3 linked regions of the Lepisosteus oculatus genome follow. The protein of the gene in region 3 interacts with the protein of the main gene of each other region in a pairwise test. Links are inferred from orthologs where the notes say so. Each region holds a gene or a part of one and is shown on either strand. Other genes may lie near its edges. The genes, in order: enkd1, rhobtb3 and ubxn11.

Region 1 (3,750 bases), on a different chromosome or scaffold from region 3:
GCTTCAGTTTGTACAAGAGCCTGCAGCTGGTAAAACCAGGAGTGGATCCGACTGTGAAGCAGACCCCTGCACACAAAGGGATAGATACACAGAAAAAGAAGACACTCCGCGGCCCTCCTCTCTGTTCTCCAGACCCTGCCTCCCCCTCCCTAACCTCAGCATCCGCGTCAAGGGTGGGGGGCCCAGGGGAGGGGCTGCGCCGTGGGGCTCCTGCACTTCCACAGCGCGAGTGAGCCTTCAGGAAGTTCTGGCACTCGGACCTCTTGGGGGGCGTCGTCTCCTGGGAAAGACGGGGATGAAATGTGAAATGTCCATTTCGCAGAGAGTGACAGAAGAATCGTTGCCCTGTTAAGTGGCCGGTACAGAGCGCCGCCGTATTGAGCTGAGCAGTCCCTGGAGCAGGGAGTTTCTCTGGGAGTTTCCGAGCCCCCAAGCTTCTGTTAACCAACAGTGCTGTCCTGCACCACCAGCCTCACCTGCAGCTGGGTCATGACCTTGGACGGCACTGCCTCGTATTTTGGGGACCTCCACAGCGCCTTGACGGGCACAGGCCGGGCGCCCTCTTTCTCGGCCTCTCGCTCCCTGCAGCGGCGCTGGATCTCGCGCAGTCGCCGCACGTTCTCCTTGCCGTGATCCCGCGGCTCCTTCTCTGAAGACACCACAGAACGCACACGTGGGCTCGGGATTTAGGACGAAGCACTTCTATACCCGGCCTGAAACACTCATTGCAGTGCGACGCCGGCCCTCCAATTGTTTTGAAACAGAAATGATTAAGACAGCACAATTCCAATATAAAACCGTACCAGATGACAATTCGTTTTTACACAGACTCTGCTATTAACTCATCCATCCATTCTTCCATTTTCTATGGAGGCAAGATACACCCTGGGCAGGACGCCAGTCCATCGCAGGGCACACATACACAGACACGCACACACTCACACCAGGGCCAGGCAAACTCGCCAGCATGTCTTTGCATGCAGCATGAGGAAACCAGAGCACCCAGAGGAAGCCCACATGAACCCTGGAAGAACCACTGCGCTACTGTGGCACCTGCTATTAACTCGTACTGCACAATTTGCATTAGACGCTTACTTGTTTCCCTAACTCCTTCTATAACAATATATACACTCAATAATCAAAATATTGGAAAACCCCACCCGATTATACGGCATCCCATTCTGAAAAGCAAGGACAGCCTGCAGCACATATTCCTCAGGAAATATCAGGAAATATTTCCAGCCCAATCACATCCCATTCTTCCAGCAAGATCATTTTTATTTGCGATGATGATTAAGATTTGTAGGGCCAGCATATCAGTAAACCTGTATTTCCAAGAGGAAGTGAGATCTGGGCATTGTTCTGGTTAGGGGGTTAGGGATCGTGATGGGAATACTTCTCCTGCTCCTCAAGCCTCACGCTGACCATTCACACGAATCGGGGCTTCCAACACTTTGACAAGTGTGTCGGATCTGATAAACAGGATATCAGAGGGAGGGAGTTTATTTACTGTGTTTTGGGGGATCTGGGTGCAGAGAGACCCCTTCCAGCTGCAGCAGATTTCCAACGACCCCTCGCTGACCCCTCTCGAGGATGTGCATGGCGTTGGGGTGCACTCGGGGGGGAGGAGGGGGGCGTGCGCTGTAGCAGCCAGGGTGCAGCGAAGGGTCAGGGGCTAGAGGGCCGGACAGAAAGGTCAACTTCAGGTCATTCCCCTCTAGCCTGCCTCGCGCTGTCAACAGAGAGCAAGAGAAACACAGAGATTATAACCACAGTTCGCATAAGTACAGGTGTAATAACCAATTACTGCATATTCCAATGTGAGTGAGCTAAGTCAAGACAAAGAGGTTGAGGAAGAGGAGGAGGATGGAGGCACAGAAAGATGTTTAATGACTGATGAATTATGGGACGGCCACACATGAACTAGGGAAGCACACAGACTCAGGCGAATCCGATGTGAGTAGACGGTCACTCAAGTCCCCAAGACTGGACTAGATAGTGTCTTACCAGAGGCCGGACGTCTGTAAAACTCAGGGAAGAGGGTGGGATCGGGAGGGATCGGTCCAGAGATCCGTGATGGGCCTTCACACATCGTCCCACTGCTCGGGACAAAGCCAGAGAAAATCCACTATCAGGGCATGGCCTGAAATCCCCAGCTACAATTCCTGCATCATTCCCGAGCTTAAGGCACGAGCAGTGCCAGGAGATCTTTCTGAGACTTGGGCCTGCAATTCTTCTTTCTGCTATCATACAGACAAAACACAAGTCCTTCTGAGCCCTGAAAGTAATGTGTTAATATTTACAACATGCCCGATTTCCACATAATACTGTGAATGGCTAACCTTTGAAGATAAATGCACTAATTTAAGTAAGTGGGGGATGCCACAAACCCTGGCTGCTGCCCTGTATAGTGGAGAGACCCCAGGTTCAGGGTCACACAGTGACAATCTGACACACACATATCCCCGGACACACGTGGCCATGCTTCGACTGGCTCAGACATACTCCCACGCTGAAGTGCCAGTCGGGGCACAGCTATAAAAAGAAAATATTCAAGTAACAGACAAGATAACACATCAGGCATGTTGTACTAAATCAGACTAAATGTGGTGTCAAATCATACCGGCTAAAAAAATCTAAAGACACAGAAAACATTGTAGAGACTGTTCTGGATGCGTTTCATTTTTAAGGCTGGATTACTGAAGGTTTATAAAGTAGTATTATGGATTTCAAGCTGAGCACAGGACACACTTTACGCAAAGGGTGGTGGGAGAGTGGAACAAGCTGCTCAGCCATGTGGTTGAAACCGATACCTTCTTTCAATAAACAGCTGGATGAGATCCTTGGATCAATCCGTCACTCACTACCAAACAGGCCACATTATTAATAATAATAACATCACTTTATTAACCCTCTACAATTTCTTGCATTAGAAATTATCTTTTTGCATACCCCAGCTTGCTCTCCATGAGACACACAGATAGGGAGAGAGTCTGGGGTGACCTCCTGTAGTTTGTAAACTTTATGTTCTTATGTTTTATACCTCAGGCGTATTCTAACGTTATACTTTAATTCTGACAGTAATTGTTTTTAAATGGATGTTACCACCCTTACTAATGATACATAATCATTTTAGTAGCAGTAATAGTTATAATAGGAACAGTCGTATAATTCAGTTTATACCTGTATGCGAGACTCGCAGTTTATAACTCTCTTCTGTCTTAGACACGAACAACTATAAACTCACCCAGGTGGACTCAGAACAGTAACAGTACAATACTGACTCCAGAATGAGTCATGGGAGACCGCAGCAAATACGATACGTGATATTTGTTATCAGTAAGAATTGCAATTGCTTTGAAAAGAGATGTGGGATTTAAAAGGTGAAATTGACATCAGTCCTGTTCCGCACACCCCCACAGACGATTTTTTTCACGTTTCTTGTGCACGAAAGTGAAACCGCCGAAACACACTGCAACCGGCACGGTATCATTTGGAGACGACCAGCGAGCAACCGGACAGGAGAGCCGGTTGACTGTGGACAAGACACAGACATCGACGAATGAAATTTAAAAATGATGCGAGGCTCTGTCACTGCACATAAAGGTTAACAGCCATCATATCAGTGGTCATTAATCTATAACGTTTTAAAATACACGCCTCTCAGAAAACGCGTGACATTTTACCGAACTTGCGGCCAGAACATGTTAACTTTTTGGCGACATAAAATTAGCAAAACAACAGGAGTCA
Region 2 (3,750 bases), on a different chromosome or scaffold from region 3:
CCACGGCCAGGTTGGTGATGAGGGCGTCTATTTTCCGCCGCTTGCTCCGGCCGCAGCAGATCTTGTGGAGCACGATGGAGTTGCCCAGGAACGCCACGGCGAAAATGACGGACATCGATATGATTCGGACCTGCCGGTTGTAGAAGGGGCCCCGGGTGGAGGAGGAGTTGCCCCCGCGGTCGGCCAGAGGGAGACTCCAGCGGTCCAGCTCGGACGAATTCGTGCGCGGGTCGCCAGCGAAGCCGGGCGCGCCGTCCATCTCTGCGCGCCACAGCCCTGAGCGATCCTGTCAACTTCTCAAGCTGAAGACGAAGTGCGGGCGCAGGGACCGGCTGCATGCAACGGCAGGACTAACGAACCGTCAAGCACCAAGCCCCGGTCGCCAGCCCAGCGCCCGCGAGTGCCTCCATAGCTCAGAGAGCAGGACCGGCGAGCGCTTGCCAGACAAGGCGTTATAGACCACAGAGCGGCAGCCGCAGCTTATATAGACCAGCCCGCGTCATCTGACGATATACTCGCGGGCAGGGGCGAGTGGGCTCGGCAGCAAGGCGGGGGTCTCGGTGACGCCGAGTTTGCGATCGAACCGAGGCCGGAGCCCTCCTGGAGCAGAGCGGGCACGAACACACGGCAGCGCGAGTGAGAGCGCTTCACGGTGCTGGGCTCGGGAGAGCACGCAGAACCGCAGTGCCCCTTACACAGAGCAGTTCTGTGCGTCATTCTTACACCCCGAAGTATTAAAATCAGTGCCCAGAACAATCACCATCTGTGAATGCACCAGAAAATGAGCGAGCGCGTCTTCGGAGTGACAGACGGCAGGAATCCACAGCGGGATCACACGGGAAGGGGACGGGAAGACCGGGAGGTCCACACCTGGCCCGCGGGTACAGGGATCATATGATCGCGATCTGATTGTAAATACCGCTACTGCTACCGCTACTGCTGGTACAGCTATTACTAGTGCTGCTACTGCTGGTACTATTGTACTACTACCTCTCAACTACTACAGTCGCTACTAGTGCTCCTACTCCTGCTATTACCTCTTAACCACTACAGCAGCTACTACTAGTGCTGCTGCTGCTACGTTTCTGCCTCTTCTGCCACTGCTCCAGTCAGCACCATTGCGATCCCCGTGTTCGTGTGGGGTGTCAGTGCCCCACTGCAGACACGCTGGCAGGTTAATACGCTCCTGGGAAACTCCTGGTGTGTGTGAGAGTGTGTGAGTGTGTGTGTGCGCGTGTGTGTGTGTGATTGTGCGTGTGTGTGAGTCTGAGTGTGCGAGTGTGTGCAAGTGAGTGTGTGTGTGAGTGTGCGTGTGATTGTGCGTGTGAGTGTGTGTGCGAGCGAGTGTGTGTGTGAGTGTGATTGTGTGCGTGTGTGAGTGTGAGAGTGTGTGTGTGATTGTGTGCGTGTGTGAGTGTGAGAGTGTGAGTGTGATTGTGTGCGTGTGTGAGTGTGAGAGTGTGTGTGTGAGTGTGAGTGTGATTGTGTGCGTGTGTGAGTGTGAGAGTGTGAGTCTGATTGTGTGCGTGTGTGAGTGTGAGAGTGTGAGTGTGTGTGAGTGTGCGTGTGCGTGTGATTGTGCGTGTGTGATTGTGTGTGTGCGTGTGTGTGAGTGTGTGTGTGAGTGTGCAGGGGTCTGGTGGGCCCTGCCTGGCGCTCATCTCTCCGCCGCCACCCTGAATCGGATGCATCCGTTAGAAACGGGAGGAATGGACGAACTTTTAGCCACGTTTCGACACCTCGGCGCCGTTTCGGAACAGCAGTACAGCAGCTCGAGAGTTAGGAGTTCACGCTTTTCCTTTCAGCGTGGAATCGGCCTTCACCTGTTGCCTGGAGAGGCCGCGCACGCCATCTAGCGGTGTAACACACACCTTACAGAACACGCACTTCTCCCCGGCTCTGCAGCAGCCGCGGGGAGCACCGTTTAACCGACGCGCTTCACGAGCTGTGAATTAAAATGATATAAACATATAAGGGAGAGTTTAATTCTTGTTTCAGTGAAATATGTCATACCCATTTCTATATACACTACAAGCGCGCCATGATAACAGCTTAATACGTGTTCGTGTATTTAGGTGAAACATAAATATTTTTTTTGTTGCTCTAAGTCATCTAATTTATCTTAGATCTTGGACAGTTGTTTTCGAGTTCGACTTTAGCCAACAATATTAAAACGGGTATTTTGGTGATGCTGCCTGAATTTATCCGCGCTGAACAAACGGATCCCGCTGTTTCATTTGATGTGCAACTCCAAATAAGTGCAATTCAGAAAGTACAATTCACAGGGGGGAAAAAAAGTATCTGTTTCGCTACAACAGCTGCAAGAAATAAGAGTTTTTGTTTGTTCATTGTGAAAATCTGCTCTCCTGCTTCAGCACCACGTGGGGTGTCACGTGTCCAGGTCGTGGCGTCTCGCGGACTGCGGTGCTCCCGTGATTTCAGTCCGGCCAGGAAAACGCAGAAAATTGTTTCAGGGGACTAGATCTATATTATATTTCTGTTTCTGACCTGTGCTGCTTGGGTCTGCGGTGTCACCAGGATGAGAAACGTCTGAAAGGACGGCAGACCGGTGAGTGCGGCGACGTCTGGGTATTTCTCTGACCCGCCGGCTTTTATTTTAATGTCTGGTTTGTGTCGGACATCAAAATAAAGGTGGACGTACACACAGCTGGTGTCGGGTCCAGTTCGGTCCCCCTGTACCCCTGTACTCAATCTGTACCCCTCCAGTACAGTCTCTCCTGGAATCTGTACCCCTCTAATACAGTCTCTCTGGGAATCTGTACCCCTCCAGTACAGTCTCTCCGGGAATCTGTACCCCTCCAGTACAGTCTCTCTGGGAATCTGTACCCCTCTAATACAGTCTCTCTGGGAATCTGTACCCCTCTAATACAGTCTCTCTGGGAATCTGTACCCCTCCAGTACAGTCTCTCTGGGAATCTGTACCCCTCTAATACAGTCTCTCCTGGAATCTGTACCCCTCCAGTACAGTCTCTCTGGGAATCTGTACCCCTCCAGTACAGTCTCTCCTGGAATCTGTACCCCTCTAATACAGTCTCTCCTGGAATCTGTACCCCTCTAATACAGTCTCTCTGGGAATCTGTACCCCTCCAGTACAGTCTCTCCTGGAATCTGTACCCCTCCAGTACAGTCTCTCCTGGAACCTGTACCCCTCCAGTACAGTCTCTCTGGGAACCTGTACCCCTCCAGTACAGTCTCTCTGGGAATCTGTACCCCTCCAGTACAGTCTCTCTGGGAATCTGTACCCCTCTAATACAGTCTCTCCTGGAATCTGTACCCCTCTAATACAGTCTCTCTGGGAATCTGTACCCCTCCATTACAGTCACTCTGGGAATCTGTACCCCTCTAATACAGTCTCTCCTGGAATCTGTACCCCTCTAATACAGTCTCTCTGGGAATCTGTAGCCCTCCAGTACAGTCTCTCTGGGAATCTGTACCCCTAATCTGTAATGTCAACGTGCTCCACAAAGCTTTGTAGCTTATTAGTTTCTTATTAAAAGCAGCACCAGCTGTTAATAATAACAGCAGCTCCTGCATGGATCTTGGTGCCTTGGCTCCTTGAGACACAGATGGACGGTGCCGGTTCTCCGCACGTGTTTATCTCGGTTTCTCTGTGTGTTTCATGAGTGGTGTACAGCATTACCGCCCCCCGGTGAATGAACGCTGAACTTTCTTTACATGAGAGAGGGGGACCGATAGCAATTGTGTTGCGTGCGTCTTTTGTCTTCTCTT
Region 3 (3,750 bases):
TCTTAGTATTCTATATTTCCAGAGAATTCCCATGACGTGAATTGACTGTACTCTGCCTGGCGATCTCTGTCGCTAAGGTTGGCGCAAGAGGTAGCCAGTTTAAGAAGCACAGTGATTAACGAGTGGGTCGGGGAGCACGTAGATTACGAAGGATTTAACGTGCTACTTTAGTTACGATAGGTTTTGGGAAACACTCGTAAATTAAGGATCGATCTTAAGAGCAAGTTTACGATGTTCTTAGCGCTACGATGCTTTCGGGAAACTCACCCCTGCCTGACATCAGCTAAATGCAATTAAAAAAAACATAAGAATTACGTATGATCGTAATGTTGGTGGTTTTTAAACCAGGACTTTGCCTCTTAGGCTACAGTTAGCGAAGGACGCCACAGCATGCTCAACTGCTCACTTCTGTGCATGATTTTATCTTAGTGGAAGACATGCACCTGAGTGTGGAGGAAAAGGCGTCAGAAGTGTAAACGCTCACAACACATTTTTGCCACAATAAATGCACTGCCTGCTAGTGTTTGAATTCTTTGAAGCTTCGTGCATCGAGATGAACCTATCTTGTGTGTGACTTCTCAGAAGTGTTCATGTTCTTGCTAGCGTGACGGAGCGAAGGGCTGTGTGAGTCTTTAGCTGGCTGCTTTTAGTGTATTTTACGGCAGAAGCTATCTGCTATTGCACTCTTCCCGTTCCTGTCAAATTTGAATTAATCAAAAAGTTTTCTTCATGAGACAAATTAGGACATTTTAAGGGAATCAGTCCAACCATAAAGGAAGACAGAAAGATTTCTCCAGAAAACTTCTGTCGCTCAAGATATTGTTAAGGTGGCGTGGTCGGAGCAAGATGTGGTCAATCAAGGAACATGAAATGTAGTAAATTATTGGAAATATTATCACTCAATCAATCAATTATCATCGTCATTTTCTTAGCCTTTAGGGTCGCGGGGGAGCCGGAGCCTAAACCGTCAACCGGAGGCTGAAATGTAATGTTTATTCTATTACAGAAAATGTAATATGTATTTTGCAAAGTAATAAAGGATAATGCTTGTATTATTATTATTATTATTATTATTATTATTATTATTATTATTATCGGTGGTGTAGTTTTACTGCATTTTGATTTAATAGAACACAACACATGTAACCTTCTGGCTATATTCTACACATTTTGGACTGCAGCAAAGAGGTTGAGGGTTCTATGCATGTTGTACGTGATCCAGTTCTAAAAAAAGAAATACAATGAGCAAAATTGCGCTTATCTAGTTCTTTTCCCATTGAACTCTCCCAGTATCCCACAAGTCTTCGGGCGGCAGTGTTGAGGTCAGACATCAGTGCGCTTCGGCCAATCGCAAACCACAGCCTGGATTGCCAATGGCAACCGACACCAAACAATTCCGCCTGGAAACGAACTCGCAAAACCAGGAGAGGTAATTCTGATATGAAAGTACTGCTGACAAATGATGTGCACTGTTGTCTAAAAAAAACGGTAACAAACGCTGTTTTTTTGTATTTGAAAAATAATACTTGTAAAGCGCGATCTCTCTGATCCTCAATAGTATAAAAATTAGTTTCGCCTTTTTCAAATGTAACATTTATTCTGCGCTATGAATTGATGTGTGTATTTCATTTGCATAACAGTCACATAGTAATATTGGTGCTCTCCTTCTCCAACGGGTCACTCAGACATATAAATGTCTTTAGATATTGTGTCATTATGTGAATATCCGGAATTATAACCTATATTGATATACGTCGCTTTTATCCAAAGTGACTTACCCAAAATAATAAAAAATATGACATAATCGCTAGAACTGTGAACAGGCACCTGATTTGGCCAAGCATATAAAGCTATAGTGTATAAGCATGCTCTTGCATTAACTTTTAAAATGAGAGATTTAGTTCACACTATAAGGTGAGTGTAATAATTAACAGATGAGTGAGATAATGTGATGAATAAGAGAATAATAGACATACTCAGTAGTTAAACGTTCATAATGAACAGAGGTATTTAGTTGGGATTCCTAATAATGGATCTGGAAACACAAACTGCAGTTGGTTCATTCCTGATGACCTTAATTACTTAATTAAGTAATGAAGTCTTAACTACAAAACTGCTAAAACAAGTTGAAAGTTTTGAATTTATTTTTTCTTATGTTCTTAACCCAAACATGTTCAAGATCTTAAAACAGTCAGACATTTCAAGTTAATCCCATCTTCAAGACAACTTTAGGAGTCAGATAATTGGGATTCAATTGTGTAAATGAGAGTTTGGTTTGAGCAAAGCTGTAACAGGCTTTGGGCCTATGGGGAATCTGTAAATTAGAGAACAAATGTTCAGATAGGCTGTATTTATTTGACAGCAGCATCTCTGAAATCTGTTGTGCTCACAGAGTGATTTTGTGTGTATTTGTTTTCTCCAACTCTGAAAGATGAGCTCTCCTCTCTCTACACTGAGAAAGAACAGAAGAACACCTCTACCTGAGTCACAGAACAATGGGTAAATAAAAAACAGATTAATATAATTATACTTTGCTGTCACAGATGTTTTCTTGAAATATTGCACAACTGCTACTGTACATCTGTTATTTCAATTTACTGTTTATCAATGTACTAACCTTAACAAAACATTTCTGTAAAACAAACTAAGTTGCTATAAAGAAGACATCTGTCTTTGATTGTATCAGTGGTGTATAATTTTACTGCTGTTTCTTTTATTAGTGATATTTGGTGTTAGCTGTGTGTTTGTGTGCTGTTTTTAATTTCTGTTAACTTGTGTTCCCACAGAAGAAGAGCAGTGCCATTTAAAAAAACTCCCTATACAGGCAAGTAGTCCCACATCTTCCTGCATTTACTACAAAGTGGTACAAATTGAATGCATCATTCTGCTGTGTGTAAACTAACACATAACAGGTTTTGTCATGATAGGAAAAACCTACAGTACCCTTTTCATCGCAGTATCTTTCACAGCTTTACACATCGATTTGCAAGATCAGTGTAAGATTGAGAAACACAGGACTAATTATAGCAAATGCTTTTTTTTCATATCAGTTTTTGAGATAGACCTAATATGAAAAACAGCTCATACACTGACTGCTTCCATAGTATTTTAATTATTTAAAAAAGAATTGTTCTTATTGCATACATTTTCTACAGTGCAGTGTGGACAGCATAGTGATATGGCAGTTAATATGCTGTCTTGCAACTCTGCAGTATCCTTTATTGGGTTCTGGGCTGGGGGTACCTTCTGTGCGGACTTTGTATGCCCTTGCCATGTTCACTTGGGTTTTTTGGGGTACTCTAGTTTCCAACCACCTCTCAAATACATGCTGGCGGGCTTCTTGGCAGCCCTAAATTGCCCCTTCCTTGATGAGCAGGAATGGGGCCCCTCCTTCATGAACCCTATCTGTCCAGAGGAGTGTATTTGGAGAAGGTTCTGGTGATGAAGAATACATAATTTCTTCAACGTTGCTGCTACAGTATATGAGACAGAGTGGGGCTTAGCTTTTGATATACAGTAGCTGCATGTCGTTATGGTGTGGTTTTCCTACTGAGTCTTTCTTGATTGTGTTTGTCCTTCACTTGTAACAGTTTTGATTTAGAAAAAGTTTCTGTTTCTGTTCTGGGTTCTGCTTGCCGGACTTAATTTTAAACATTAAATACTACTGTATTATTATAAATAATCTTATGGCCAGTCTTACCTCTTTGTTTTGACTGGAGTTTCATGCCTTCTTTTGCAATACTGACTGGA

The links.
Region 1: the proteins of ubxn11 (region 3) and enkd1 interact in binary tests that used the Homo sapiens proteins (3 or more experiments, as listed by UniProt). The two-hybrid records come from large-scale screens. The link is inferred for Lepisosteus oculatus from reciprocal best matches to the Homo sapiens genes UBXN11 and ENKD1.
Region 2: the proteins of ubxn11 (region 3) and rhobtb3 interact in binary tests that used the Homo sapiens proteins (3 or more experiments, as listed by UniProt). The two-hybrid records come from large-scale screens. The link is inferred for Lepisosteus oculatus from reciprocal best matches to the Homo sapiens genes UBXN11 and RHOBTB3.

The regions. Positions count from the first base shown.
Region 1 is NC_090697.1:65,809,436-65,813,185, forward strand, and holds the start of enkd1 (enkurin domain-containing protein 1), read right to left. Parts: upstream 2,632-3,750; 5' UTR 2,585-2,631; coding exon 2,391-2,584; intron 2,100-2,390; coding exon 2,008-2,099; intron 1,733-2,007; coding exon 1,511-1,732; intron 650-1,510; coding exon 477-649; intron 281-476; coding exon 155-280; intron 1-154. UniProt on the Homo sapiens protein: Microtubule-binding protein which regulates microtubule organization and stability. Promotes the stability of astral microtubules and facilitates the proper orientation of the mitotic spindle.
Region 2 is NC_090698.1:74,236,712-74,240,461, forward strand, and holds the start of rhobtb3 (rho-related BTB domain-containing protein 3), read left to right. Parts: upstream 1-825; 5' UTR 826-911; intron 912-1,881; exon of another isoform or gene 1,882-2,569; intron 2,570-3,750. Other genes in the region: probable G-protein coupled receptor 150, read right to left, coding at 1-259. UniProt on the Homo sapiens protein: Rab9-regulated ATPase required for endosome to Golgi transport. Involved in transport vesicle docking at the Golgi complex, possibly by participating in release M6PRBP1/TIP47 from vesicles to permit their efficient docking and fusion at the Golgi.
Region 3 is NC_090706.1:7,489,529-7,493,278, reverse strand, and holds the start of ubxn11 (UBX domain-containing protein 11), read left to right. Parts: upstream 1-1,292; 5' UTR 1,293-1,440; coding exon 1,441-1,488; intron 1,489-2,431; coding exon 2,432-2,499; intron 2,500-2,786; coding exon 2,787-2,824; intron 2,825-3,750. UniProt on the Homo sapiens protein: May be involved in the reorganization of actin cytoskeleton mediated by RND1, RND2 and RND3. Promotes RHOA activation mediated by GNA12 and GNA13.